3 linked regions of the Lytechinus pictus genome follow. The protein of the gene in region 1 purifies or fractionates together with the protein of each later gene. This does not show direct contact. Links are inferred from orthologs where the notes say so. Each region holds a gene or a part of one and is shown in the gene's direction. Other genes may lie near its edges. The genes, in order: ribonuclease P protein subunit p20-like, ribonuclease P protein subunit p30-like and inhibitor of Bruton tyrosine kinase-like.

The links.
Region 2: the proteins of ribonuclease P protein subunit p20-like (region 1) and ribonuclease P protein subunit p30-like purify together in Homo sapiens (co-immunoprecipitation; 4 studies listed by BioGRID and IntAct, counting the BioPlex papers as one, with this or other methods). This does not show direct contact. The link is inferred for Lytechinus pictus from reciprocal best matches to the Homo sapiens genes POP7 and RPP30.
Region 3: the proteins of ribonuclease P protein subunit p20-like (region 1) and inhibitor of Bruton tyrosine kinase-like purify together in Homo sapiens (affinity purification with mass spectrometry; 3 studies listed by BioGRID and IntAct, with this or other methods). This does not show direct contact. The link is inferred for Lytechinus pictus from reciprocal best matches to the Homo sapiens genes POP7 and IBTK.

What each region holds. Positions count from the first base shown.
Region 1 is NC_087259.1:13,426,465-13,433,459, forward strand, and holds ribonuclease P protein subunit p20-like, read left to right. Parts: upstream 1-5,794; coding exon 5,795-6,244; downstream 6,245-6,995. Other genes in the region: ubiquitin-related modifier 1-like, read left to right, coding at 1,730-1,773, 3,501-3,571, 4,149-4,230, 4,854-4,902, 5,669-5,737. UniProt on the Homo sapiens protein: Component of ribonuclease P, a ribonucleoprotein complex that generates mature tRNA molecules by cleaving their 5'-ends. Also a component of the MRP ribonuclease complex, which cleaves pre-rRNA sequences.
Region 2 is NC_087256.1:15,071,285-15,080,020, reverse strand, and holds the start of ribonuclease P protein subunit p30-like, read left to right. Parts: upstream 1-5,040; 5' UTR 5,041-5,114; coding exon 5,115-5,199; exon of another isoform or gene 5,200-5,284; intron 5,285-8,736. Other genes in the region: kinesin-like protein KIF20B, read right to left, coding at 211-447. UniProt on the Homo sapiens protein: Component of ribonuclease P, a ribonucleoprotein complex that generates mature tRNA molecules by cleaving their 5'-ends. Also a component of the MRP ribonuclease complex, which cleaves pre-rRNA sequences.
Region 3 is NC_087248.1:19,338,829-19,347,332, forward strand, and holds the start of inhibitor of Bruton tyrosine kinase-like, read left to right. Parts: upstream 1-4,859; 5' UTR 4,860-5,012; intron 5,013-6,178; 5' UTR 6,179-6,849; coding exon 6,850-7,173; intron 7,174-7,762; coding exon 7,763-7,984; intron 7,985-8,359; coding exon 8,360-8,504. UniProt on the Homo sapiens protein: Acts as an inhibitor of BTK tyrosine kinase activity, thereby playing a role in B-cell development. Down-regulates BTK kinase activity, leading to interference with BTK-mediated calcium mobilization and NF-kappa-B-driven transcription.

The sequences.
Region 1 (6,995 bases):
GAATTTGAAATTTGACAAATTGAAATGTAATAATTCTTATAACAAAATGTAGGTTGATCGAATAAGACAGTTCCTGCACCATTCGAATGACTACGCGAATACGGCGATTTTCCCCATATCCTTAATAATTACATCAATGCACATCCTTTGACATTATATATTTGATAGTGTTTTTCTCGATGAGAAAATAAATGAATTAATCTTGGAATTTCACTTGTTCACGCGCCGAACCACTCAGCCTGGTTTGATGGACACTGTTTGATTGATTTGAATAACGCCCCCTATTGGTCATGGGTATCTCATCATCACCATCAAATCCCGAATCTGTTTATTCCCCCTTATAATTTTGATGTCAATTCAAATTACTGTATAACAGTGGGGGGGGGTGGGTTCATTTGAAAAGGGATATTGAATTACATGTACCTTATTTTTTGTTTTATATGTAAATAAAGAAGACCAGAAATGGTTTAAAGATATAAAAAAATCCCGAATTTGATGGGCCTCATCCACAGAGGAGCTTATTTTATCCACCTGTATATGGTCAGATCCTGCATTAACATGTAAAGACCCCGTTAATTACTGGTTGAAATGTCCTATTTCTCATGTTGCTCACTAATTATGTTGTTTTTTATTATTAATCGTGAGTGCTTGGGGGGAATCTTTACTAACTCTCTCTTGCCATGTCCCTTTTCTCTTTTTTCTACTATCTTGATTTAACTGGTTATGCTCACCCACAAAGAAAAGACGATTTCTCAAGTCTTGTTAAGTAAAACAAAATGGAAAAAAATACGATATAAAGACACCACAACAACTATGGAAAGCCAGCAACGTCAAAATCTGAAATGCATGGGTTTTTTCCAAAATATTTTCTAGATATGAATTCATATATTTATCATTTTCTTGAAATTCAGTGAGCTTCTCTTCTTTACAGTTTATATACCTATTATATATAATTCCTGCAGGAAAAAATATGACATTGATGGATCTCCATACAGTTGATATTAAAAATTTTAATCGGATCAATCGCAATTCTTTGTAAGACGGGCCCAGTTGTCCTATTTTAATCCTCACGCACTGGGGAGGACTGGGGAGGGGGTGTCACATAATATTTGTGTACAACTTTCGGCCAAAAGTGGGGCCTACCCACGGCTACCCACTTGATACGGTAAATTTGAACTATTGTCTTATCAAAGGATATGTGATGACAGTTCTCTTCATAATTGATTTAGGCCCACACATTTAAAGGCGCGGCTAAGAATATTTTTGTGTTACATCACCTTACTCTATAACCCAATTCGCCTACGAAAAATACCCATGATGAATCCTTTCTTGTTTTTTGAATTGGCAGAGACCTTGCTGCACAAATTGTATTCAAGTTGCTGAAATTAAGTGATGCTACTCAAACTAACTTACAATATAAACATAACACGAAAAATTAAATTGCTGCTAAGTAAAATGACATAAGGATTTCAGACAAACGTCTTGGTCAGATTCAGAATGTTCCTAAAATTACTTTTCCATTCTGTTTTTTTTAATGAGATTTTGAAATAAATGGAAATATCTGCCTTAGTAATAGTATATTACACAAGAAAAGGGTTTTTAAAAGTGAGTATGAAAAACAAGTTCACATCCCGGGGACAGTGCTTGATTTACAGTGTAGTGTGAAAAAAGAGAGATTGTCTAGATCTAGACTTTGCAGTATTATAGCTACCGTACCTGTAAATTAAATATGGCAGCGCCCACTGGTGAAATTCACGTGAAGCTTGAATTCAGGTAATATCACTAATTTTAAGGCAAAATATTTAAACAATGGTTGTGATTATGTTTTTTATTTTATTTCCGGTTTATTTGGAATCATATCGGCGTGTAAATCGAGTGGAAATGTGTATATATTTGCCTATTTGAAATTTGAACACGGTTTCCGTTCTATCGGCATCGCATCGCCATCGGACCGGTGCCCCGGTGGCGGTGCCCGGTGGCGGTACCGTACGGTACGTAGCCGTGGGGTTACGGCAGATCTCCGGTAGACTATATTCATGACTACCTCGAGCGAAGTTCGTGCAGGCTCCACTCCACTTCTCACTACCGCTAGGCGCTACACTACACTCCACCTACCCGAATTTCGGGTAGGCATGGTTGATGGTAGACCAAAAGCTTCGGTCTCTGTTATGTTGGTTGTTCAGCTGAACTCCGTTGGAACTCCGTTGGCTTCACTCACCAAATACAGAGACCGAAGTTCTAGCGCGATCTGTACAGGGGACTCAATGGCCATATGTTTATGTACTTAAGATCGGATAAAACGGGGAAGTGAATTTGCGCGACAGCCGAGGTAAGTCACTGTTTTTGTTCCTTTTAACTCGATTTTTCTCCGTTTCTTGGCAATTAATGCCAAGAGGGAATATCAATTTGCATTTTGGTCGCATTAATTTTCAAAATTTTTATTGATTAAAGACAAAAATTGAAGAGCCCCGACGGGGGGATTTTGCATTGCAAGTCCCCTAATGGTGGCTGCACGCTAGCGAGCTGTCTGTGTATGAGGAGAACTTAAAAAAAAAATGTTAAAAAACTCCTCAAAACAGACGGCTGCCAGCTGTCTAGGTTGATGGTAGGTGGAGTGTAGTGTAGCGGTAGTGGAGTGGAGTGGAGCCTGCACGAACTTCGCTCGAGGTATATTCATGACATTACTTTAGTTAGTATTTAGTATTAGTAATATATAGTAGTTGACTTCTGCAATTTCTGAACGGCCGATTTACCAGAGTCCAGACTCATTGACTCAACTTCTGGCTTCTGCAGTGATACCTGCCGATCTCCGAACAGCGGGAGAACTGAAACAAGGGAGGGAGAGAGGTCTGCGTTATGCGTCACGCCGCGCCTCTGCCCGGGCGAAGTGTCGTTTTTCATTTATTAATTTATATTATTAGAGTCCTCTAGAGTCTGCGGCGACCGCTGCCAATCTCGATCTGGATGCTTACGATGCAGGACCCACTAGCCAGGAGGTCTAGACCCAGAGAGTAAAAATCATTCGCTAACGTGTGCTTACTCTCCACAGAGCCAGGGATTGCGCCCCATCTATTTACGTGTACTGGGAAAAAAACTGAAATTTTCGCCCCCAAGATTTCTACTTTCCTTCTAAAAGATCTAGCCCTAATGGGATACAACTTTATTTCCGACATTTATACGATATTGATTTCATTTTTAAACAAAATTTCATTAAAAAAAATTATAAAAAGACAGGGAAAACTTGCCGCGATGTTTACGTCGCCATCTTGTTCTTTTTGTTCTTCGCCAAGCTACGAGACGCATATCAGGTGATATCTCTCTTATTTTTTAAGAAATTTTCAGTGTTAATTTTTCTTTTCTTATCTTTTATCATAACAAATGGACCTTAGGGTTGGTTTCCCTTTTATTTCAAAATCTACGTGTACATGTAGATCTAGACCTACATATATTGATTATTTTTTTGTATATTGATTATTTTTTTAATGATATCATCCTTACAGTGGTGGAGCAGAGTTATTATTTGACAAGATCAAGCATCATGATGCTGTTTTGAACTGCAGTCACAACAAATGTAAGTTCTGTTAGAATATAAGAATAAATTTTAGAATATTTGCTCCTACTACAACATATTTAAATCTAGCAATGGCAGATCATAGAGCTAATAGCTCTATGGGCAGATCTAGGGGGGGGGGGCACAGCTGGCCCGCCCCCCCACCCCTTTTGAGAGCCATAATCCAAATTTTTAATGTAAACATGCCGTTTTTACCCAAGTGTGTTCCCCCCCCCTTCTTTTTGTCACATTTTCATCAGGAAAGTGCCCTCCCCCCTATTGGAAAACCTTGGATCCGCTCCTGAACTTCATTTTGGTATAGTTTTTTTTTAAATTTATTTTGGGGGATTCATTGTCAATAAATGTCTTTTCTTATACTTGAAAATGGTTGAAGACAGAACATACTGATTTTTATTAAATTGGTATTATACATGTATGTTCCCTTTTGCTTAAGGAAAAAAAAATTATTCTTCATGTTGTCAAATTAGTGTGATTACTTTATTCATAATTGATTTAGGTTACTTATTTCAGGACACACTTTATTTTAAAGATAAAATGGAGAACTATTTTGTTCTAATTTTCTTATTTCTTTTCAAAGGGACAATCAAGACATTGCTGGTTTGGATCAAAGATAACCTTCTGAAAGAGAGACCAGAGTTATTCATCCAAGGAGACACGGTGTAAGCATTTCAATTTTTTTCTATCAACACAAAAAAAAGAAAAGGAGTATAAAACAGATGGACAGGTCTTTTCTTGAGTGTTGTAATATGTGAATTCAAAAAATGTTTACAGTGTATCTTACTTGTAGGTCAGGTGTGTGTTTCATAAAGCTGTTTGTAAGTTAAGAGCAACTTTAAGAACGACTGGTTAACATTTCTTATGCACTAAATAATCACAAAATGGTGAATATCACCACAAGAAAGGATCACCAGTCGTCACTCTTAACCTACTAACAGCTTTATGAAACGGCCCCCTGGTCTGTTTTCAAGTTTACCTTCATTTTAACTTTTGAGACATATTTTTCATTTGTTATGTATCATTTTTGCATAAAGTAAACATGGAAGTGTTCATTTTCTTCAGTCAAACAAGGTTTTTGTATAGTTGGCTATTGAATGTTATAAAGGTAAATATTTTTGTCTGCAGAGTAAATTTCATGCAGCATACTTTGCCGGTAGATGTGGGTTGGGGTATGAAAGCTAGCATTTCTTAACAGGGTTATGTTGATATTGTGTTTCATGTTTTGATTGACAACTGCCTATTCTAATAGTGAAATCTGTAATTTTGTATCATTTCTTTTGAACAGGAGACCTGGTATTCTGGTCCTTGTAAATGATGCTGATTGGGAATTAGTGGTAAGACATTGCTAGACATAGTTGATGATTATGAAATGAATTCTAGATTTACTTCTCACCTAATGATGTCATTCAAACATACATTTTATTCTTTATTATTGATCAGCTTTGAAAACAAGCATGATTTGGTATGTTAATTGGAAGCTGTGTGTGTTTTTCTTTTTAAATACATAATGCCTATAAATAGATGATTTATCACTCATACTTAAAAGGGAACTTACAGTCTTACTGCATTTGGGACAACACATTTTTTTGCAGACTTATTTTACCACCTTTTACTTTTTTGAAAATTGGAAACCTAAGAGTGTGCATTATTTTAGGAAAGTAGTGTTAATTTGTTTATGAAGTGTTATCCTTTCCAAATTTCATAGATTGCACAAACAAAGAAGACACAAAAGACACAATCTTCTTAAAATGAAGCAAAGTATGTGCCTTAGGAAAATCTATGTCAAACCTCTTAAGAGTGTTTGATGTTGATTATTTCTTGTGTACTGCAGTGGTAAGTGATACATTGCGATTTGTAAGTTTATTTTTATCAATAGATATAGTTCTGTTTTGATATTCACAGTACTGTACTGTGTTAACAGGGTCTGTTTTGCTCATGCCATCAACTTAGATTTGATATTTAGAACAGTAATGTATAGAGATATTGCATCATGTAGAAAAGAGAAAAATAAATATGTTATCTAAAATGTCCATAAATCTGATAACCATTTACATTTATCCTTTCTTCTAAGCTGTTATTTTTACCATCCCTTTTATCCAGGGTGAATTAGAGTACGAGATACAAAATAAGGACAAGATTATCTTCATATCAACCCTTCACGGTGGATGAGCTGCCTTTGACAGTTTCACTCGGGAAAATAAAATTGAAAGTTTAACTCAAAATAAGATGGCCTCGGGCGATGCACAGCCGGCTACCCCCCAAGCCCGCCCTCACAAGTCGGCCAAACCGAAGGTCAATCCAGCGGCGGTGAGTATCCGGAAGCGTCAGCCCCGCAGACTTCCGAAGCGCAAGAATGACATCTACGTGACTCGCAAGTCTAACTTTGCCAGCCAGATGGAAAAGTGTGAGAAACTCTTTGACGGGGGAGAGAAAGAGGTGTTCATTCATGGTCTTGGTGCAGCTATCAACAGAGCACTAAACATTGCTCTTCAGTTGGAGTCCCGAAGTCTTGGCACACTCCAGATATCCATCAGCACTTCCACTGTCAACCTGGTGGACGACATCGAACCACTCTGCGATGAAGGGGACTTTGATACGAGGGAGAGAAGCAACTCTGCTGTCCATATTAGAGTGTTTAGGACTGAAAGCAAGAAAATGGATGGGCCAAATAAGTGATGTGACTTATAACCATGGCCAAGGTCTTTTTTGAGAAAGGATGCAGACATTCCGTGGTGATGATAAAGTTGTATGATGAACTAATCTTTTCTCTCCTTTCTCTGGTTTTAGAATTTAAGTTTGTAGCAGTGTCAGTTGACTCACCTTTGGTTTTCACTGAAACGTACATCAGAGCATATTAGATGATGATTTGATCTCATGGGAATTAAAACAGTTAATGGAGGAATAAACCTTTTATTCTTCAAAAATATGAATGTTGGTTTATGGTTATTCCACATGAGAGAAACAATCACCTCATTTTGTGTTTGAAGGAAAACAATTAAACTGAAAGTACAGAATACTCAAACTCTTGGATGAAAAGAAGCATATAAGAAATAATGCCATTATAATTCATGCAATTTTGATTGCAATAGATATTTTGTTTTGTGAAAATTGCTTAAGTTTCTGGTAATTATGTTACCATGGTTAAATCTATGATAGATCACATATTTGCAAGAAAAACAAATTTGCATTCTCTTAAAGTATTGATTATGGAATTATGATTTATGGTAACAGAAAATATTTTTGAGACCTATTTACAATTAAACAAGAGTCATTATTAGGGGCAGTTAGTTTCCATTTGAACAAAAAACAGCCTATTCTATTTCTGAAAACCTGCAATTCCATTTCAACCTTGAAAGAAAATGTAGACGGCAAAAAACTTGAATTCAATTTTGTGAAGGTAAATTCAGTGAATTTTGCATGAAAATTA
Region 2 (8,736 bases), on another chromosome or scaffold:
CACCAAAAGAATGAATAAATAAATGAAAAGTCTAGATTGGTTTTATCTAATTGAATATTTTTAATTCATTTTTAAATTGCTGTGCGATATCCCAATTAGAGCAAGTTCTCTTAGTTATAGCATGAAGGAAAACAGTATGCATGTACTACCAAAAACAGAATGTTGCCAGCAACCACCTACAGTTGGTGGAGGCCTAAAAACATACTGTACCTGGGACTCGCCTCCTTCAACCTCAGCATTAGTGAAAGGCCTCACTCTTAGATAAACCTTCATCGGTTCCCTATTGTGAGCGACGCTAACCCTGGCAATCTTCATGGGCGTGGCCGACGTGAATTCTGTAAAGAGGTCCTTTTTTATGCTCTCCTGGAAGGCTAGCAGATCTTCCTCCTCTTCAACAACGTCCTCCTCAGTGTCTGAGAAGTTACTGGAGGCTGGGAAATCACTCATGTTGCCGATACTGTCCTTCCCCGTTTCACTATTTTTTAATTGAAAATTAAAAAAGGATACACCTGTATGTCAAATTGCATTTATGTTTGTTCAACTGAATTCAACTATAAAATATAAAGCAATGATATAAATTTAGGCCTTGAAGCCTTAGATCTATTCTGATTTCTGAAAGAATAAATTGTGACAAAAACGAAGCACAAAATCAAAATACGACATTTTCAACATAATTTGACCTGCACATCACTCTCCTTCTTTGCTGTAAGTACAGGTCTGGTATACTTCCATACTCATGTGCAGGTATCTGTAGTTTATGTACAGTGTCTCAATAAAAGGTTCTACAATACTATGTGCAGCTGCATGTACATGTAAAAACAAGACATCTGTGAAAATTAAATAATTTGGATTTTGAGTACATGTACCTCTCTTTCTTTTTTTAAAAAACATAGAAGAGAGGTACAGGAGACAGCGGCCTGTGGTAAAGCATTCCACAGCCTGGCCAGCGGTCGCATCAGGGAAGAAGCTTTTTGTATTGTCTATATCACTCACTTTATGATAGATAACAAAAAGTATTCAAGGGTAAGTCCACACTCACAGAAATTTAAGAGGGAGGGCAAAAAAATACATCATCAAAATTGAATGTCAAATGAAAGAAAGTAAGTTGGTCAAACTTGGGTTTCATGGACACAATTGATAAGAGTCTTGTTGGCATTATCACCCACTTTTAATTCAAAATTGTTTTTAACAAAATATCACCCTAGTTTCATCATTATTTAGTTGTGAGGTTTTCCATCTACATTGGTGATAAAAAAATAAGAACATTTTTTCTGGTTCACTACATTTTACAGGTGCAAAACTGAACAAGTGCCAAATCTCTAACTGTTAACCCTAAAATGGCCGGGGGGGGGGGGGGTTGAATCAACCCCCCCCCTCAACATTTTCTGCGATCATTCCGCCGCGCGAAATTTTTTGACCGCGCCACTAGCAGAGTTTATACTTTTAAGTCTCGCGCATCTTTTGAGACCAAATTTATGACACCCGGGAATTCGGTTCCGAAATTACGCAACATTTTGTAAGTGCATGTCAGACCAAAAATTGTTCAAAAACGTGATTTTGTGTACAAAGTCAATGCAAATTGAGTTTTCTCATCTTATTCATAAAGATATGATTATTTTTACTTTAAACAGCTGAAAGCAATTGATTTTAGCATAATTATGCTTCAAAAAGGTTGTGCAATAAATCTGGTGAAAAAAACAAAGAAAAACAAAAGGTCAAAAAACAAAGAAATACATAAGAAATTCATAAAACAATAAAATACATAAGAAATTGATTTCCAAACCGAAGTTTTTTTCAATTGCCATTGTTAAGAATACTACAAAGAATATTTTTACCAAAAATTAGCATTCTAGGAGCTTTATTTAGTGAATTAGAGCAAAAAGTATGATTTATGCATAAATTAGCATAATTAATTCATATAAAATAAAATCTCATTATTTTGGAAAATTTTACCATACAGCCTTGTAGATTACATCGCACACTACCAGCATGCAAATTTTTGCGGCGCTCGCGCGATCGGTGGCCGAGATCTCAGGGGGGGGGTTGAATCAACCCCCCCCCCCCCCCCCCCCGGCCACAGAACAGCCAAAAAAGCCCGGCCTAGTTAGGGTTAAAGAAGGTTTACCTTTAGAAAGTAAAGGAAAGTTTGTTGTAAAATATCAGAAAACAAATGAGAAAAAATACTGGTAAAGTTTTGATGAAAATCAATAAAAAATTAATGGGACGCAATCCCTGGCTCCGTGGACAGTAAGCATACGTTAGTAAATCATTTTTACACTCTAGGAGCCTCCTAGCTATGGTTAGTCGTGCCTTGATTTTCCCGTGCACAGCGGCATGTAATGAACCCTTGAGTGCCACTAAGCTAATCCTTTTGCAGCAAATGTAAACAAAGGAAATTGGTCTCCCAACTGGAGACTGTCTCGGAAATTGGATACCCAAATTCTTTACAAGTCTGATATTGGAGATAATCTCTCTCATGGGAGACAGTTTCCCATCCCATATGGCATAATTATTGGCCATGCACCTCTACTGCTAACCAAACTGGATTTTAATTTAGTTTTCGGTATTTTTGTAGCGGGACAGCTTTGCAAGACGGCCGGTGGCCGCCCACTGTCTTGCGCTGCCCACGTTCAAAGAAAGACGGAGCCGAGAAATGACAAATTCGAACAAAGAGATAAAGTAAAGTTGTGTATGTGTTTATTCAAAATCCATGTCAAATCAACAAGCTGATATAGTATAATAACGTCCCATCTATGGGCTGGGCGACCGCAATTTGAGTACAATTAAGCCGACATGGCTAACGGCAGCAAAACAAATCGTTAACGAAAAGAACTACCCCGCCCGACCTAGCACACGCCCATTTTATACTTCTTGGCTCAAACACCACGTGGAGAGAAAACCCTTCCCCAAATCGGTCTTATCCCTTTTGGTGCAATGCGCCAAATTAATCTGCCTGTAATATCAATGTATAAAATGTAACTAATTAATGATTCCAAATTCAAGTTCTTCGGCTTTCCATTATTCTTCCCTCTTACGTAACTCTCTCTTCACCACTCCCCCAACTGCTCTCTCGATCAACTTGTCCCCCTCTGCGACTCTCACACTTCAACCACTCCCACTACTACAGCTCTCTCATCCAATCTCTATACTTAATTCTCTCGTTCTACGACTCGTATCTTACAACTCAGTTATCTCTCTCACCTGTTCATTCTCTCTCTCACCCTCTTTCTAGCCGCTAAAGAATGCAAGCGAGCCATAGAACACGAAATGAGCAGAATAGAAAAAAATTCATTGAGCCCCGAAAAATACTAATTCTAAATCCCAGGCAGGCCAGACAGCCTAACAATTAACCAAGCCAGTGTGCATTCTTTTTTACCTTTCTACATAAAACGTGCCAGCTTGACCCAGAATTAAAGCTGACAACAGAAATTTACACATTTTATGGAATGTAAACAGTGCAAGAAAGAACTTGAACTGAACTGAAGCCAGGCAAACAAACTTTTTAGTAAATTTTACCAAAAGGCAAAACTCAGTCTGTTATTGTTAAAACATTATTAAAAAACAAACAAATCTCTATTTTCCACCCCGCTGCAGCTATATTTTCACCATTTCTTTTGTATTTTCTATGCGCTATCAATAGTCTAGACCAAAAGCTTCAGTCTCTGTATTTTGGTTGTTCCGCTGAACTACGTTGGCTCCACTCACCATACATAGACTGAAGGGGACGGGGCCCCGTACCTACAGCCAACGTATAGTGAACTAGCGTTTTATAGATCGCGATTTAAAACTGTTTTTTAAGCAAAATTGAAAGTTTCATGGTTTCCATTATCAGGGAAATATAAATAACTTAAGTAATTGCATACCTTGGGCCGGAGTTATTGAAAAAAATCCTCTGGATGATTGAGAAATCTGTCATCTAAGACATTTTCACCTGACCTGACGGTTTTTCTTGCAAGTTGCCATCTTGAATGACGTCATTATCGTTATTAATGTCTCGAATCGATATATCGCGATTATAACTAGTACTAGTACTAGTATAACTAGTATCGTTTATCTTCGGTTTCGTTCGCATATGGAGCAGATCGTATAATATCGAAAGCAATATCGATATCACATTCGTGATTGTTGACGTTCGTTTGTAAATATTTTATAGTTTGGCTGCCATTTTGACCATTTTTATCGTGTTCAACCCAATTAAACATTGGTAAAGTATATTTTTCATGCCTTTTTCATCTATATCGTTTAAAGTATTTAAACATTGAAATATCAAGTTTTAAAAGTTTGTTGTTTATACATCCTTAGATTGTAAATTCGATGTGTAAAATTACATCAAACTTTGGACTGTGAATTGACAAAAGGGAGGGAATGAGAACACATGCGAGCCCACACGTACACCCTACCGTCGGTAAAACTAAAATCTAAATGGGGATTACAGTAAAATGTCAGAAATTGTTGAATAAATCCCCAGAAACGACGGTTATTCCTGTCTATCAATAGTCACACTTTTGAAATGTAATCATACACAAATTCATCACATTAAGAAAAAAAACCTCGCACAAAAGCATTGCATGAAGAGTGGCCATTTATGATACAATCGTAAGTAAATTATTATGCACACAACTGAATTGGTGATATCATGGTTCCTTGATACGCGTATTCATATAGCACATGAACGACAACACCATCGGCATCGCATTAAGTTTAACAGCATCCCAGGCGAAAATGAATCTGCCACAAACATAAAAACGGTACAACTACAACCAGAAACTACACTTCACTCACCTCACACTATTTGACTTAATTACAAGGCCTTACTTTAATGTTAAAAGATAGATAGTTGAACAAGCTTACCATATAAGATGATATTTAATTTACTAAATGACTTGGACTTACCTGAGGCTGTACTGATGATGTACTTGGTCTTGGCGATTCTTCGAATTTGACCGGTTCGAGCGCTCGCGAAGTACCTTATCCAATCAAAACACGGGGTTGTCATTAATTGCGGCGAGGAGTAACGGGCAAAGTGATTGGTCGATCGCCATCCACGCAATGTAACGTAAACAAACATTATTTACCCACGTGTGCATGTATGGAAGTCGAATTCAATCGAAAACATGACGCAATTTTTTGACCTAAATTTGATAGATAATCGGTTTGACGAGAAGAGAAAACAAAGAGCAATCGCTAGAGCAGCAAGATGTAAGTATTGTGCATAATTTTCTCCTTAAGGCTTAGTCGCGCGCAGGTTATTCTTCCATCAACGCCGGACGCGGACACAACTCAGTCTCAGAGTCAGAGTCAGACTCGGCACGGGGAACTTCCCGCCGAAAGCAGCGGCGGATCTCGTTCGGCTCGCGCTCGTGCACCTGGGCCGGCCTCCATGATGATGTTTTTTAATATTTTGACATATATTCTTCATCATGGAGCCTTGACGCTCTTTCCATAGACGCAGAAGCGAGACCTTGACACCCGGATGGATAGTTACAGGGTGAAATCGGTTTGTAGTATTGTATTTGTAAGTAATTTGTACGAATTAATTTTATTGATATTTGAAGTTTAGTTTAGCTTAATTCCTTACCTTGACTTGAGTTACCTTGAGTTACCTTGATGGCCACATCTCACTGTCTTCATGACGAGGGTGTACAGATGAGTGTGGCAGGGTTAAGGAGCCTTAAATCAATGACAATGCCTAATTAGTAATGCGTATGAAGGTTAAAAAAATTGGTTAATAAAAAAGTGAAAATTTTAAGGTTTCTTACCTGGCCTAGCCTGGAGGCTTCTCGGGAGTAAAATTATTTCTACTTGAATTACTTATGATATCCCTGACTAGAAAGTAATGAAAAGTCTGAATGCAAAGACTATCACAAAGAACTGCATACATAGTCATAATTAATAGCCACGATTGTGTAACAGTGACGTAATTGCAAACACACAAGTAAAGTTATGAAACTTATATTTCAAGCCTAGAAGTAACTGAGTTATTCAGTCGCGTGAACTATGAAGTGGCATGTCTGAGGAATGACTGATATGATAATGATTTGGACTGATTCGAAATTTAGTCTTTAGAATTAGATGTTAAATTGGCGACCCTGCCAAGATTTTGAATCGCCACGGAACCTGATGGATGTGTGCCCAGCCATCGCATTGCCCAATGGTGAGTAGCTGTGTCTTCCTGCCGCAACTTCCCTGTTCGTTTTGACCCCACTTCGCTGTAATAGTAAAACTTTTACGGAGATTTCTTTTGTGACTATATGGTGAGAGAGTACAATAATGGCTACTGGGCAGAATCAAAACATAACAGTGGTTAGTGAAACAAGAAACCTGAAAACTGGTCCATTTACCCACCCGGATAACCAACTTTCGATTGGGAAAGCTTGGGAAGAATGGTTAGAAGACTTAGAAAGAAAATTATTCAGGTATTTCCGGATAGTGAACCCTGTTGACAAAGCTGATGCACTAATCATCTATGGGGGAAAGGATATTGCCAGGTTAGCAAGATCACTCCCAGACCCAATAGAAACGGATGTTAACAATCCAATGAATGAATACCAAAAGCTAAGGAGGAAACTTGATGAGTATTACAAGCCTAAGAAAAACCAGCATCATGCTCGTTACCTGTTCTCGAAAACAAGAATGCAAGAATGGGAAATCACTGCTGCCTATGTTGCTCGTGTTCGGGAAAAAGCTGTAGAGTGTGAATTTGGAAGTTCACTGGAGGAGAGGATCCTAGAGCATTTGATTCAAACCCTTAAGAGCACATCTCTAATTCAGAAGGCAATCAGTAAAGGGTGGAACCTGAACGAATTATTGAGTGAAGCCACGCAGAAAGAAGATGTTTCGCTTCAAGTGGCAGACATGAGTACGCAGGATGTACGTAAAGTTGGAAAGATGTACCCAAAGTCAAACAAGCAGAACCAGAGAGCCTGTTCATTTTGTGGCATGATTGACAAACATCCCCCAGGGAAAGATTGTCCAGCTTATGGGAGGCAGTGTAATAAATGTCGCAAATACAACCACTTCGCCTCAGTGGGTAAATCAAGTTCCAACTCCAAGGTAAAATCAGATGACAAAAAGAAGGCAACAAGTTCTTTCAAGGATGGTAAAGAAAAGAAAGGAAAACACATAAGCTTTGTCAAGAAAACTGCCAAGAAACAGGAAGGAGATACAAGTTCTGATGACGAGTTTATGCAACACTTGAGTACTAAGCAAGCCAAAACAGTTCGAATTTGGAAGATAGGAATCCAGGACAAGCATGTCAGCATAAAAATTGCTAATCTAGATGCCAAGGTTGAAGTAGATAGTGGTTCCGAGGTCAACCTTATGGATGAGCACCAGTTTAAAGCATTATCTAACAGATCCGATAGAGAGTTGAAGTTACATCCCACAGAGGTTAAACTCAGTGCATTGACAACTGAACTTGATGTCAAAGGAAAATTCACAACAACTGTGGAGAATGAAACCTTAGGTATAGAAAAAGAATTTTATGTGATAAGAGGGAAGATAGACAGTGTACCACTACTAGGAAGAGTATCCGCAACCAAACTAGGAATGTTGGAGATAAGACCCAATGGTACTCTGCAAGCCAAGAAAGTTAGCAAGCCACCAGATTCTATGGATGAGATAATCAAGAAGAATGCTCAGGCATTCAAGGGCATTGGAAAGATACATGACAAAAGAAGCAACAAGGATATTTATGCACATTTCCATATGAAAGAAGGAGCAGTGCCAGTTGCTCAAAAGCCACGCCCTGTTCCATACTATCTCCAGAAACTGCTGAAGGAATGGTTAGATCACTGTGTTGCTGAAGACATATTTGAGCCACTACCAGAAGATGAGCCGGTTACATGGTGTTCACCATTGGTGATACAACCAAAGCCAAGGTATAAGGACAAACCAAAAGAGAGTCTTACACAGAACATGATAAGAACAAGCATTGATCTAAGAATACCAAACAAAGAGATGGAAAGGAGCAGGATAAACCAAAATCCTGTGGTAGAGGACTTCATCCACAAGTTTCATGAGTGTAAAGTCTTTTCCAAGTTAGACGAAGAATGGATACCACCAGTTGATGCTCGCACCATAGTCCAGACACATAGCAACTTTCAGCACCCCATGGGGAAACATGAGGCCTAAAAGACTGATCTTTGGAGCAAAATCATCACAAGACCTGTTTGATGAAACAATCACTCGCATCTTTGGAGATATCCCATAATGCCTAAATCAAAGAGATGACATCTTGATAGGAGGTAAAACTCTTGAGGAGCACGATGCAACTCTAGAACAAGTCCTGAAGAGAGCTACAGATTTCAACATCACTTTCAATTCTGACAAGTGTGAGTTTGGAGTAGACCAGCTAGAATTCTATTGCTACCTCTTCACCAAAGATGGACTAAAGCCAACTGAAGAAAAGGTCAGAGCAGTCAAGGAAAGCTCACAACCAAGGTCCAAGGCAGAAGTGAGAAGTGTTCTTGGTGTGATCGGGTATTTATCCAAATTTATACCCAGATATTCTACTCTTACTGCACTGCTGAGTGAACTGACCAAGAAAGATACTAAGTTCGTTTGGGGAGACGAAGAGGAAAATGCGTTCCAGAAACTGAAGCAAAGTATCACAAGTGAAGATACTATCACATACTTTGACCCCAATAAGCCAATCATTCTGAGAACAGAAGCAAGTTTCAATGAAGGCTTATCAGCAGGATTATTCCAGCAAACTGAGAAGGGATTGCAGCCTGT
Region 3 (8,504 bases), on another chromosome or scaffold:
AACAAATCGTTTAACAAATAACAAAATCACTTCAAGTGGAAGAATGACATTTCAGTCGTAGCCTTAATTAGTGCCAGAATTGACCACAGAGAGTTTTACAACTCATTTTTTTTCATAACCGCTCGCTCGCGGAATGAATAAAGCCTAAGTGTATATTTCAAATCTCTTTTTGAAAAGGGTTTGCTCAACTTAGTACTGAAGGCACAAATGTAATCTGATGATGAAAATATCTGCACTCAAATGTCCATTTCGACATATAATAAGTTCCCTTTTAGTCTTTGCCCCCCCCCCCCCCCCCCCATCCGCACCAAACGAAAATACTTTCCGCCGCTCCTGGAATATGAAATATATTTTCTGAATGTAAAATCCTATCCAAACCATTAAATTATTATTATTGCCCTCAGGGGGCGGCAGAGCAAAGTTGAAAGGGAGACACACAGAAAATTTTCAAAAAGGGCACTATCTTAAACATGGCCATATGCAGAAAATTTTAGCTGGGGGGGGGGGGTAGCAAGCGTAATCTTGTTAGGAAAGTGAGGGAGTGAAGCGACCGAGCTTATCATTGAGGCGCGTTTGCATTTTGTTAAGTTGGATTTTGTGCATATTTTTGGCGAATTTTGTGAAAATCTGCAGTAAAAAAATGTGAGTTTTCAAAAAAAAAGTTTGGGGGGGGGGAGCTAGGGGCAATCCCCCCCCCTGCTGCGTACGGCCATGATCTTAAAACAATGAAAAGGGACTTCTCTACCCCACTCACGTGGGATTATTTTTATAAGTTTTTTTCATCCATTATGCACTTGCAGAAGGAAGCAGAACGGCGCTAAATAGAGAAACCGGGCGCTCATCGGGCACGAAAATAGTGTTTTTTTCAGTACAACTTGATATGAAGAACAGGCACCTATTACAAGGCAAATGGGCACTCGTTAACACACAAAACAGGTCAAAGGGGCACAGAACACGTTCGTGGGGGCACTTTTCTTAGGTAAAAAGGGGCACTGATACGAGAAAGGCCACCTATAAGATGGCAAAATGGCACTTGCTCAGACATGAAACGGGTCCTCAGGTGAAAGGGGCACAGAACACAAACGTAAGGGGTGATTTTTTTGGTAAAATTTGGCACTGATACGAGATATGGCACTTGCTAACACATAAAAACGGGTCTTTTTCAGGTGAAAAGGGCACAGTACACGTTCATGAGGGGGGAAAGCATTTTGGGGTAAAAATTGGCACTTATATACGAAAAAAAATGGCACTTGGAAACACCTAAAACGGGTCCTCTTCCGATGAAAGAGGCACTGTACACGTTCGTGAGGGGGCACTTTTCTAAAGTTTTCTTGCTAAAAAGGGGCACTTTTTCAGTGCTTCAAAAAGTGTGGGGCACTGTGCTCCCCCCCCCCCCGGATCGCCGCCCCTGATTGCCCTCTTACTTCTCTTTCTCGCACCTTTTCAAGAACTTTTTCTCCCTCTGTCATGTCTAGCCCCCTCAATGTTGGTTGTTGGCTCATTGTGCCGCTGATTTGAAGAGTGAGGGGAGAATAAGATCGATGGGAGAGAAAGAATGAAGAAGGGAGGGGAGAGAGATGGATAGGAAGAGTCAAGAGATAATGAGATTGAAGGAGTCAAAAGAGAGAAGAAATCACGAAGAGGGGATTTATGAGAGGATCTTAAAAGAGAGGGTATAGGGGTGGGACAGTGGCGAATCCAGAGGGGGGAACATCTGGCCACTGCCCCCCTTGAAAGGAACAAGAAATAATTTCTAGTGGAATATGTCTTGCATTGGCGCGAGGATCTTCTTTTTTTTTTCTTGTCTTATTGTTCATGGAACAAAATGATTTAGATTTGGGAGTGAAGACCCTTTTTTTTCGTTTTCAAAATTTTCATGCGTTCAATTACAAAGAAAGTCCGAACAAAATTGAGCAAAATAGGCATTGCAAAAAGGTTGCATTATTTTTAAAGCAACTATGAATTTGCATTTAATCAAATCACTTACATGATTGTTTTTAGGATTTACGCTTTAGTGCGCAGAAATTGGATTTGAACGTGAGTCTCTTTCAACGGCTTTATAGTTCTCAAAAAACGGAGGACTTCGAAGCTTTTTTTTTAGCCCCTGAACAAAATGATTCAATTCATATATTTTGGGGGAAATTCCATGTCATTGAGAGAAGTCGGTCATTTTACATTTCAAAAGGTGTTATCTCTATAAGCAATAAGTTGGTATTATTTATTTTGTGGCATTTATGGGCCACTCTTCGTCGTTTTATGATGGCAACATCAGGGGAGCTTTTCACGAAAGAACTTGTCGGACGTTTCATCCGACACGTCCTGGTTTATCCGACAGTTACCATAGTAACAGTGCTTCTCAGCCAATCAGAATCAAGGAATGATGTCAGATCTGACAACTTGTCAGACAAAAATGTTGATGAAATGCTCCCCAGGCTGAAAGAAAAATCTATAAAAAAATAAATAATAATAAAATAAAAATAAAAATATCGGTGAAGGTTTGGCAGCTATATAGAAATCCATTATTATGACAATTGTGAAGTTTTTATTTGTGACGTCATATTATGCGAGCAGCTACCCCATATATTATAAATTTTCTAATTTTGTTAAAAGGGTTTATTAAAGGTGAAAATCATATAGCCATGTAAGTGTGAAATTTTGCTCCATTCGCCACATCTGACCCCCTCTTTTTTTTTTGGGGGGGGGGGGGGGAGCTCACTAACGCCACTGATTTATGTATCTTTCGCTTTCCCCCTTTGCACGCATAACTTTCTCCAAACTTAGTAGTCCAAATGAAAATCGAAATACTCATATCACATTTGTGTGATATAATATTTATTGACCTTTCCGTTTCACGCACACATACAGGCCTCGTCGTTAGTGGGGAAAAAATACCATAGGCGGATCCAGGGGGGCTGAAGCGGCTGCGACCCCGGCCCCTTTCGACAGCATTGAAAGGGGGAAAGTGGGAGGGGGAGAGGATAAAGAGAATAAAGAAGGAGAGGAGAGAAAAATATTAGGCAGTAAAATAAGAGGAGAAAAATCAAATGAGGAGTGAGTAAAATAAGGGAACTGATAGAATTGGAAAATAGGTTCTCGATAGCAATGAGATACATCATCTCTTCAACCGGCGTTGTATGGCGCTTAAGATATCCCGTTTTCAAGTAATTAGGCCCTTATAACCAAAATAATAGGCCTACGGCACTTGAAGTTTCCATTATTTTTATTTTGTGATATATGCATCGATCGATATATAAAGTGTTAAAACTGTCCCTTTCATGTCTGAAACCAAAATAACCAAAATAATAGGCCTACGGCACTTGAAGTTTCCATTATTTTTATTTTGTGATATATGCATCATATAAAGTGTTAAAACTGTCCGGCCCTTTTCATGTCTGAATATATTATCTGTAAAAAGAGATTCAGCTCACGCGTCGGGCTCAAATCGTTTGGTAATCCAAGTTATGCAAATGGTCCTTTAAAATATGTCTCATTTTCAGGTCTGTATATCATTGTAAAGTCTGTATATAATAAACAGCTATCTTCGCGCCCGACAAAAACATTTTCTTCCATATTTTCGCTCGAATCCGAGGGGGGGGGGGGCGTTTGGGGTAGTTGTAAAAACTGTTCAAGTACAGATAACTTATTCTTACAAACCAGACACTTTAAAAAGATCTCATGATTGGATATGTGCCCCAGGGGATACGTATCTCTCTACATAAATAAATTATACAGTTCAGGGGATCGACCGAGGGCTGGGCTACTCGAATTTATTAACATTGACACTTTTTAATAGGCCAACAAATGGCTTTTTGTTACTCCCTCACAACCCATTCATTACTTTATATGTTTCTTGTCAATTATTGTACAACTGCCATTGTTGTTTTATTTTATTGAAGTAATTCACTATGTATTCTGTTTTTAGGAGATGACAAATAAATGAATTTAAATTTAAATTTCAACTTTACACGAGGTCCTAAAATGGATTTGCCTGGGTTATTATGTCATGAGAAATTGCTGAGAGGATTAATTGCAATCATTCAAACAAAACTTTAAAAATATCAATCGTAACTTGATTTTCAACCAAATAAACATGCGGCTTGAGACAGGGGCAGATCCAGGATTTCCCAAAAGGGGGGGGGGGCAATTTTTTCGGAGGAAAATTTTGACAAGCAAAAAAAAATGTTTTCAACCACAAATTAAGGATATTTTGTACCCGAAAAAAATTGACAAGCAAAAAAAAAAGGTCTTCAATTTCAAAAGAGGGGGCACACCTCTGTTTTAATGGCATTTTTACATTACAAAGTTTAATTTTGCTTCTTGAGAGACTTGCACTTTCTGTAACAGTTCACACTTTGAAGGAAATTACCCGAATTCCGAGAACTTCCAGATCATGCATTTTCAGGTCCGGGTACTGATGGAAAAATTCCAGGTAATTTCGGGAAATCCAAAAATTACAATCAAGCAACAATTAAACGTAATAAATTTCAATATTCATGCTATATTTAAAGACTTGTTTGTCTCATAGATAGCTCAAAATTTTATGCTCGCCCTCCGCGCTCGCATTTCATAATTTTGTTCCTATTTTTAAAAAGGGCGCATGCACGTGAAGAAAAAAAAAAAGGTTAAATTCCTTGATTTTGGTCCCTTGGACTAAGTGTAAAGTTGCTGCTGTATCATTGTCCGAGATTTGTTCAAAATCAAACTTGAAAATTCCAGGAAATGTCTATGAATTTCGGGAAATTTGGGATTCAGGTTCGGAAGATTTGTTTTGGAGGGGTTTTGGATCATTCTGTGACTCTGGAAACAATGGGCAGCGCCCATCCCATCCCCAGATCAGCTGGTAACCTTTGACCTCTTAACTTATCTATATATCTGGCTGGCGAAAAGTTACGTGTCATCTTTTCTTCAATTTATCTGACTTGCCGGACGAAAATGGATCCTTGTTTTCAACTTGTTTTTGCAAATCCAGAGCTTTTCCACTTCTTTGCCATCGTGATCGTAAAATAAAGAAGGTATTTTCAGTTTTTCTTTTATATTTGCATTTTCAAAAACTTAAACATAACCTTTTTTTCCCTTTTATTTTTTAAACGGCGGTAAGTTATCTCGGATCTTCTTATCCTATGTTATCGCTGTGCACAGTCTGCACTTATAAGCTGTACATTTAGTGGGGAATAGCGACCTTGGGTTGGTACGCATCAGTTTCAAATTGCAACATAATTGCGCAATTTGAGCAGTTGAGTTAGCGAAGTTCCCACGCATATGTCATCGATAATTAATGGCCTTATTTGATATTTTGGGATGGTATGTGAACTGGTCTCAATGACAATGCCATAATGAATGTCCTTTTGTTTTGATTTTTAATTTGCAATCATTTGCATTAATTTTCATTTTGCATTAAATTTGGGGAAGTTTGAGCAATTGTATTTGAGGAGTTTGATTTCAAAAGTGGTGATTTTCTTTTCTCTTTCCCTGCCACAGGCAAAGAAGACACACTTTAGGTGATGATGTTACCATTTCCAATTTAAGTTTAAAAATATTGCATGTGCAAAGAGGGATGTGATGAGAATCAAGTTCATCATGCTTTTTTAATTTTAAAAATGGAAAAGACCATTGATATTTGCAAAATCTTATTCTTGAGATTTAACTTTTAATTTAAATCAATCATTTTTTTTTTACTCATATAGGAGTTTTTGCTTTTGAAGCTTTTGTGTTTTTGTTTCTATACTGGCATGACTGGCATCCTAAGACCTGATTTTAATTTTTGCCAGTGGAGCCTGACTAAGTTTCAGCGAGCATGTCAACAGTGACAGACAATGCTGTCGCTCCGAATAAGGAAGTAGTCATTTTTATTTCATTGTAAATCTACCAATAAAATGATTATATATGTAATTTCTTTTGAAAGAAACATTTCTTTGGGTCTGAAGGATAAATTTCCGGAAATTTCTGTTGGTGTTATTACACTATGTACATCTTGTGAAAAATACAAAGGTTTATATTTTTATATACTCAAAATAAGCATTAAAACACAGTTCAATACATTTTTAAAAAGAATCATGGATGCTCATATTTTGTATTTCTTGACTTGGGAAATAATTAATCTGACACTGTAGGCATTGGCATTGAGAACGCTTTGAAATTCTAGTTTTTTGTGGTACTTTTTTCCCCCTATTACATGCAGGCCGACTGATTGACCATTATGTGTGCTTGACTGAGCTCTAGTCACCATGGCCCTAGTGGCTGTGGGGCTGTGAGTAGCAGCCCTGAGGGTTGACTAGAGTATCCGAGAGTCTTCAAGCTCTGAGGATTGACCAAAGAATCGGAGTATCGTCAAGCCTTTAGGGTTGGCCAGAGTATCTGAGTATAGATCTCCAAGCTTTGAGGGTCGACAAGAGTATCTGAGAATCACCATGTACTGAGGGTTGACCAGAAAGTCTTTTGAGTAGCTTCAAGTCCTAAGGATTGACCATAGAATCTGAGTATCGTCAAGCCTTGTGGGTTGACCAGAGTATCTGAATAGTTTCAAGCCCTGAGCATTGACCATAGAATCTTGAGAATATCCAAGGCCCGAGGGTTAACTAGCATGTCTAAGTATCTGCAAGATTGGATTAAAGTTCACACACCAAGTTTCCATTCAGTCTGATCATTAACATTGGTTCAGGTGGATCTTTGAAAGCATTCCTTTGTGATTCAGCAACCATTGATAAACATCTTTGTTGACTGATTTAGACAAGAGAGGTATAGCTTTTTGAGAAGTGTGAGGGATCTAATATAAGGTAACAACCTATCTTCCTGCTCATAGTTTCACCAACAAGACTCAGGACATTGCTGTTTTCCAGAACATAATCACCAATGGAGCATCTCCTTGAATGGGAGTGCACTCCTCGATGTCGTTCCCAGGAGCATGGCCGGGACATGACTGCGGTCATCACCTGTGGAACCACTCATCAGATCCAGACCTTCATCCTCTCCCACTGCCTCAATCCATTCTTTGTCTCTGACTTCAGCGGAAGGAATCTGCTTCATGTTGCAGCCTCCTGTGGAAAGTTGGAGATTGTGGAATGGCTTCTGGCCAAAGGAGCAGATTGTCGTGTAAGGGACAAGGAGTCTGGCTGGACCCCGCTGCATAGGAGTCTGTTCTTTGGACAGATCTCATGTGCTATCAGTCTAATACGGGTGAGTTAGTTTAATCTAAGTTTGATTTGAATGTAAAGTGCCAAAGCAGTATGGTATTTTTTAATTTGTTGATGAGTACCAGGAGCAAATGTTTTCTTATGATCTGATTGTTTCTGTGGACACACATGGACATTAAGTCTCTCTTTACTTTTTTTTAAACACCCTGAGGACATACATTTCTATGGACATAAGTGCATACTTTGAAGACATTCTTATTGTAACTGGTTTCATTTTAAAGATTTGCCAGTGATTTTTTTTTAATGAAGTCTCTGAAATACATCTTTAATTGAAAAAAATGGCAATCCTTGTGCTCTCAAGATTAGTATAAAAAACAAATACAGCGAATGTGATTCTTCTTTTAATTCTTGCAGTAATCACACAATGTTCTTGATATTGTCTAGACCATTGAACTTGATAGAGTAATAGAAAATAATACTCAAGCATCTGGTTCAAAAAGCATTGTTTGAACGAGTACCCCACACTTATTATGGATTATATCACATGAGTCTGTACTTGGTCATTTTTTGTATTTATTTTTTTGAACTCATTTCTAACATATGGTTTATTACACCACAATCTCTATTCTTAGCATGGAGCATCATTGAAGCGATATGACAAGGATGAGCTGACCCCGTTGGAGTTGGTAATGAAAGACAAACCAGCTTATGTGACCTTTGACCCTGTCGATCCTACCCAGGCTTATTCATGGGGAACCAACTCGAACTTTAACCTCGGGCATGGCAGACAGCGCAGCAGAGATCAACCCGAGCTGGTGGATTCTCTAGCTGCAGACAATCACAGTATCAAACAGGTAAAGGGCTTTTTTAAATCCTCACTTGTTAGATTCTTTATATTGTTCTACCGTAACTATAAAAAAATATAAAGAATAAAAGTGTGAAGGATATGTTGTCATGATAAAGTAACAACAAGATCAACTTGAACTGCTCAAGCAATGAATACATTATTATTTTATTTTACCCGCTTAATTTCATTTGTGTATTGCTTATTCACAAAATCATCATCAGGAAAGGAACGTCAAAATCTACAAAACAATTACGATTGCAGTTCTTCAATTTTAGTTTATTTCCCTTTTTTTCTATGCAGTTGGATTTACCTTGTTCATTTCATTTCCCTTCGACTCTCAAACTTCAAGATTCTGTCGTATCTTTCCTTTCTAACCCACCAGGTTGTAATGTGCAAGTTCCACACCCTCTTTCTAACGCACCAAGGTAGGGTGTTGGTGTGCGGTCATGGCCAGGGTGGCAGGCTTGGTCTTGGCGATGAAGCAACCTGCCTAAGACCACAGCTTCTCAAGTCCCTTGGAGCCCGCT